Bombyx mori: one gene and its partner. The protein of the gene in region 1 interacts with the protein of each later gene in a pairwise test. Links are inferred from orthologs where the notes say so. Each region holds a gene or a part of one and is shown on either strand. Other genes may lie near its edges.

The links.
Region 2: the proteins of replication factor C4 (region 1) and PRKCA-binding protein interact in a two-hybrid assay, tested with the Caenorhabditis elegans proteins (3 studies listed by BioGRID). The link is inferred for Bombyx mori from reciprocal best matches to the Caenorhabditis elegans genes rfc-4 and Y57G11C.22.

Annotation. Positions count from the first base shown.
Region 1 is NC_085121.1:12,204,906-12,209,212, reverse strand, and holds the start of replication factor C4, read right to left. Parts: upstream 2,805-4,307; 5' UTR 2,503-2,804; coding exon 2,393-2,502; intron 2,325-2,392; coding exon 2,049-2,324; intron 242-2,048; coding exon 23-241; intron 1-22. UniProt on the Caenorhabditis elegans protein: The elongation of primed DNA templates by DNA polymerase delta and epsilon requires the action of the accessory proteins PCNA and activator 1. This subunit may be involved in the elongation of the multiprimed DNA template.
Region 2 is NC_085134.1:7,524,476-7,527,357, reverse strand, and holds the end of PRKCA-binding protein, read left to right. Parts: intron 1-29; coding exon 30-132; intron 133-1,723; coding exon 1,724-2,083; 3' UTR 2,084-2,097; downstream 2,098-2,882.

The DNA of each region.
Region 1 (4,307 bases):
GGAGGTTTTGCAAACTTCTTACCGTTTAATAACATTCTCTCTAGCTAATGGCTTAAAGCGAAATTTTGAACAGCGACTCGTGATTGGCGGTATGATCCTTGACACATAGTTGCAGATGAGACAGAACCGTGTAGTACGAGTCTCGCGTTCCATAGTGCGTCGAAGTGCCGCTTGAGCTGCTGTAGTCATCGAGTCTGCTTCATCCAGAATGACCAGTTTGTATGAGGGACATGGTCGACCACTATACGAACATGTAATATTTAGCAGTATTGCTTGATTATACAAACATGCACTTGTCATTGTATATATAATACATACACACAAATATGTATCTCTTATTCAAAAAAATGGGCCAAATGATTTTCTTAGTCTCAAGTTTATAGCACGACACACCCTTTTTTTATTCCTTCCATTATTATTATTAGGGATTTTCAACTTATTTTTAATTCTTAAATCTAGTGGTACGTTTTGATTAAATCATGACATGATAAAGACAGCCTGTTAATTTTGTTAAAATGTAGTTACCCATTTCAGTTCTAAGGGTGAGAGAAACATTTAGCTCTTCAATGAGCTAAGTTTGTTTAAGAATTTGCACATATTGTTTGACAATTTTTAAATAATATTTTAATATATTATCTTACTATATGCAAATAAGTATAAAGACTTTGACCTCATGTGTCAAGGTTTAAGGTTGTGGGATTTAAATTGGACATTAATGAACATTCACATGCTTAGTAACAAACTGACCTAAATCCTAAAAAAGCAAATTGTTTTCAATTGACTCTCACAATCTCAGACTCATAATGGTTTATGTCAGTACCATTATACAATCTTGGTCAAAATATACATACATAAAAGAGACAAATACATACTTAAGAAACGTTCATGAATGACTTTGACGGTGATGGAAGAACATCAGGTAATAATAATCAAACTGGCAAAAATTATAAATTGCGTAATTAATGGTGGTAGGGCGTCTTGTGTGCCCGTACAGATAGTTACGACCCCTTGCCTTTTTTGCTTTGAAGTGCCAACCAGAGCATTTCGGTTTGCAGGTGTGGCAGCCGTTGTACCGTAAAACTGAGACCTAGAACTCATGGATGGAGGAATTTATGTTGTTGCTGTTTATGAGCTCCAGTTACCACTTAAACCAAGTGGACCGTGAACTCGTCCACCCAATTTAGCAAAAAAATAATATTCATAAAAATTCTGAGATATAAATCTCTATAATTCACTTAGGATTTAAATCATAATTGATCACGCTATTAATAAGGATATGAATTATTATGTCTAAGTCATGAAAACAAATAAAAATATTATTTGGGTTTCAAGTCACCTTTACATACATTACATCTTTTATTTAGGGGCCCAAGCTAAGGTAATATAATTAATAAATTGTCCTTTTTATTGTTGCAATTAATTAGGTTTCAGTAACATCAACTGCAAGCCCTTTAAAGTTTTAAATTGATACGAACAGATGTAACATCAATTTGACGAATGTAACATCAATTTGTTAACTTGTTAACCCACTGAGTTTCTCGCTGGATATTCTCAGTGGATCGCGAGTCCGATCCTGTAGTAGATTCAGCGAACCACTGCTCTTGCTAAGGCTAGTGTTAGCAATTCCCTCTGGTTGAGCCCGTGGGCTCACCTGCCAGTCCATGTGAAGTTGGATGATTAGGAAGGGAGAAAAAATTACATGTAATCGAGTAGTTGTGGTTGAGGCTGCCACTCAAGTAAGGACCAGTTTAGTCATGGTATGTTATTATAATTGATAAGGATATAGATAAGCTAGTATGCATCTACTAATAAAATGGAGTGGTTTCGAAAAATAAAATGAATAGTAATTTATTTTTTTCGAATTAAAGGTTGTTAATAAATTATTATTTCTAAATGTAATTAGGATTAACACATTAGGATTTCATTTAACAGTTACAGTTGGTCATGGCAGCCTTTTTTAATCAGGTAAATAGGCAGGAAATTATGACTTATGTCTGCTTATTACTGCTGTATATTACAAATATTATTGGTAAAATCAGAGTACTTACTCAGCTCTTTTTCCGCTAACTGTAAGCTGGGCAAATGCTTTAACTTTATCTCTAACGACTTGTATACCGCGTTCATCGGATGCATTTAATTCCAACACGCGGTCTCGACTGATATCTCCGAAGAGTTGCTTTGCAGCGGCAAGTATGGCACTCGTTTTACCGGTACCCGGCGGTCCATAAAATAGTAAATGCGGTAGATCTCCACCGGATAAACATTCCCTTAGCACTTGAACAACCTCTCCTTGGTCCACTATATCGTCTATTGTCTTCGGTCTACTGGTAAAGAAGATTATGATACAGCAAAATTTAAATTTAGATGATTTTAGTAATATTCCTGTACTTACTATTTTTCGACCCATGGAGCTGGAGGTTTTTTCTTATTTGTAGTTTTAACTCCAGAAGTTGACGCTTTGTCTCCTGCAGATATCTTTCCAGTCTTAAGAAATGCTTGCATTTTATGAGAGTATTTACTGATTTCCTTTTCACTATTTTGAAATTCACAATTTTTTTGACCTGTTGTTGAATTGCTTTGAGTTGAATTTATCAGGCATGGGGAGCTTGTTAATACAGCCACTTTCTTGTTTTTTAGAAAGTTAACGTTTTTTAGAATTATACACGTAGACTTTTTGGCACGAACACATTAGACATAGCATTATAAGTTTCGAAAACTCTTTCGTATTATTAGTTTAATGTTCCTTCAGGTTGGAACGAATTTAAATGGCTATTTTTTTAATTTTCTAGCATCTTCAAAATTGCAGAAGTATCGTAAAATAAACTAAATCGCCGGACGTGACTTCTCGTGTTCTTCAACTCTGAAGTCCATTGAAGCTTTAGTAAATTTCCACCGTTTTACTAAGAAATAACTTTACTTCATTACGTCCAACAACCATGTAATAGTTTTATTATATAGTTTTTTATTTCTACGTAATTGTAGTAACCTATTTTATTTTCTTTAATACCATATTCAATTTAATTTTCACTTTCAGTTCTTTTATGTATACTTACTTTATATACAATAATTACTTTAATTACTGTTGGACGGTTAAATTTGAGGGGATTGGGTTCTGTAGGTGATGAGGGGCTATTTAAAAACACAACTGCTTCATTATAATTATATTGCAGATTGCTTGAACACTTTTACACCATTATACAATTATTATCTTTATATTTTTTTAATGAAACTATTACATGTTTTTCATGCCGTGTCTAGATGAGAAGTAACTGACATTTTCTTACGAGAATACAATGATCTGTTTTTTAAAACATTTAAAATAATTCCAATATTCGAAATCTAATCAAGTGTCAAGTGTTGCCTGCCATTACATTTAATATACAAACTCCAACACACCCCCTCAACACTTGCACACATTTTTCTCCGTCTATAACTTAGTACCAAAAAAGAATAATGCTAACCTGACCTTCATAAATTAATTCTTTCCATACATACCTAAAAAACCTCACAACCACTTACATTCCGTCACTTCTACATAATCCCTCTCAATTCAACCATCAACTATTCATTCAACCTTTCAAACTTAATACTATCTTTAATGTCGCTACCTTTAATCCTTTCTTACTTCTCCAACTCCAATTCGATCAAAAATGTACTTTCATTCAACCATACAACCTTAACTTCTCTCTTGACTCACTATATAAAACCTTAACTATAATAGTCTAACTCCTTCTCGACTTCCTACATAAACTCTTCAAGTTTATTTAAAACTTTTAACGCCTTCTCAACCTCTTTACTTTAATAACCTTAAACGCCTTCTCAACCTCTTTACTTTAATAACCTTAAACGCCTTCTCAACCTCTTTACTTTAATAACCTTAAACGCCTTCTCAACCTCTTTACTTTAATAACCTTAAACGCCTTCTCAACCTCTTTACTTTAATAACCTTAAACGCCTTCTCAACCTCTTTACTTTAATAACCTTAAACGCCTTCTCAACCTCTTTACTTTAATAACCTTAAACGCCTTCTCAACCTCTTTACTTTAATAACCTCCTTCTCGACCTCTTTAACCTAAACTCCTTCTCGACTCTAACCTTTAACTCCTTCTCGACTCTAACCTTTAACTCCTTCTCGACTCTAACCTTTAACTCCTTCTCGACTCTAACCTTTAACTCCTTCTCGACTCTAACCTTTAAACTCCTTTATCTCCTTCTCGACTTATTTAACGTTAATCACCCTCTCAACTTCTTTAACCTTAATCACCTTCAACTCCACTCACAAACCACATAACTCATAACAAATAACC
Region 2 (2,882 bases), on another chromosome or scaffold:
GAAAGAGTTTACTTAAAAACCTTTTACAGCGAAACCTTGGAGCATTTAATGGAGAATTCTACATTGTTCCCAGTCGAAGTTGACCTCTCGCAGAACTGTTTTCAGTATAAATCGGCAGGTCAAATTAGTGAGGTAAGTGTTTTTAACCCACTTAAAAATGGAGCAGCTTATCCTTCTAGTTGAACCAATTTTAATAGTCCTTTTTATTTATTTGAAGACTGTTTCTACTCATGAGGTTCCATTTAAGTCTATTTAATAATGCATATTCAATTAACTTCGACTATTCTAATGATGTTCGCATTTTATTTTTTTGAAATCGGCTTAGTACAGCTGAGTAGTTAGCTGAAGTGGCAATGGACCGGCCACATTAGCCAGAGGACCTTTTTTTCTCTTACATATGCTGATAGCGTTGAGAGGCTATATCAGCTTCGCCCTAAGTTGTAGGTGAGCTCACGGGGCTCAAACTGGAAGTGTTGCTAACACTGTCCCTAGCAAGAGCAGTGCTTCGCAGAATCTACCACCCAGTGGCGGATTAAAGGTCCAGAGCGCCCTAGGCAATCACTTTATTGGGCGTCCCTGTACCGGCCATAAATGGCCATCATAATACTATAATCTTTAACTAGTTGTTTTTGCAATTACGATGACGTTGTATCATCAAACCCTAGACTTTAGTAGACCAGGACCCTTGTACTTACGCTAATGCGCAAATGAAATATGACGTTATAACTGTGAAGAAATCAAGAGGGACGACAGAACGAACATCGAAATTCATGATTACTCTCTGCTCTGGGAAATAGGCCAAATAGGAATAATCTATTATGCATTTAGATTATAGATCAGCATTTAGTCCTTAATCGTCGATATGTTATTTTCTTTATTTATTTAAAAATTCTGAGCTCGCGCGCGCGCCCCTAGGCACGTGCCTAGTTTGCCTTACGGATAATCCGCCTCTGCTACCACCGGATCGGAAACGCGACCCACTGAGAAGATCCGGCGATAAACTCAGTTGGCTATGTCTATGGGCTAATTTACTCGTCGAGCTCTTCGTCGCAAGTGACGGGTTCGGCGAGGATGGTGACTGGTGCTTGAGGTACCTAAAAGCACCGTTAATGAATCGGGAGGATTCGTAATTACGTGTTTAGGGCGACGTCGACTGTTTACCCGGAGGACCGATAACCGTTGGAGTAAACGTGTTCTTGGGTGAAAACGAATTGGTAGATGAAATGCAGGACTGGCAAGGTGAGCACACCTACACGTGGCTGGCAAGAGCTGGACGGGCAGTTGGAGAAGCCTGTGTCCAGCAGTGGACAGCTATAGGCTGATGATGATGATGATGTTGATGAGGACTAGCTTTTTTTGTTAATATTTCGTATTACTGCTAAGCCCCTACTGTCTTCCTTGTGCTGTAGTTTAATGCTAACCGCGTGGGTAGTCTGTTTATTATTGCTGATATGTAACTAACACGGATTCTGGTAATGTGATCGAAGCCGCGCTTGCCTTATTTAAAAAGAAATCGCGAAGCTCGAAGGAACATATTCATTAACCCATTGAGTTTCTCATCGAATCTTCTCAGTGGGTTGCGCTTCCGATCTGGTGGTAGATTTAGCGAAGCACTGCTCTCGCTAGGGCGAGTGTTATTAAATTCTCTCAGGTTGAGCCTGTGAGCTCACCTACAAGCGAATAGGTAAACAAAACACTTTTTTTTTAAATTGAAAAAATCTAGGACGTCCAAGATGAAGATATAGAATACGCAAAAGAAATACAAGAGTACCACGATTTGTCTGTTAACGACACGAGAGAGGCGAAGTTGATGAAGAAACGTCAGACGGACGACAATGAGCACAATGACGCTACCGAACAGCTTCTCCCGGGTATCGACACCGTTGACATTGACAGGTCCGAGAATAATGACGTTTCGGACAACTTGACACTCCTGACAGAGCTAGGGCTGGCGGACGCGGGAGCCAATGACGAATTCGGGAGCTTCCAAAACGGACTGATGGACGATTTCATGCCGAAGAGCAGCAGCGACGTCGATGACGTTTTCGATAAGCTGTTGAACGATTTGAGTATCGGAAAATAAATAGATTGAATAAAGAGAGCTTTTTTTTTAATTATGTAAACAGACCAGTCATTATTTTACTTGGTATTTAGGTTCTGCTGATACCTGTTGATGTTAATGCCGTCGTCTAACCCAAGGCATTGTTAGAAGTGCCAATTTTAATGCGTAAGTGGGATTATGCATTCAAATTGGCAAACCGATCTTTTTTTTTGCTTCGATAGTTGGACGAGCTCACAGCCCACCTGGTGCTAAGTGGTCACTGGAGCCCATAGAAATCTACAACGTAAATGCGCCACCCACCTTGAGATATAAGTTCTAAGGTCTCAGTATAGTTATAACGGCTGCCCCGCCCTTCAAACCGAAACGCATTACTGCTTCACGGCAGAAATCGGCGGGGCGGTGGTACCTACCCGTGCGGACTCACAAGAGGTCCTACCACCAGTAATTACGCCAATTATAATTTTCACGACACACGTCGAACCCCCTTATACGAGAGCTGCGGAAAAATGAGGTGCCCATATTCATCTTCAGGCCGAGGCCAAGCATTTGAAGTCTCACAGGTGAGTCGTACAAAATCGATTTTTTTTAACATCCCCTAATGACGTCACGATATTTTGTGAATTTACTTTCGTCTAGCAAAATGGATATCAAATGAAACTAATTTTAGGCTATTGTTCCTTTTATTTTAAAAAAATACAATAAATATTTTAGCAAGATCTTGAAAGTACCTAATTTTATGGCAGGTTTATCGAGTTCAATCCAATTTGACTCTAAGGTACTTCGTCTCACAAATGTCAAATAACGCAATAACTGACAATGA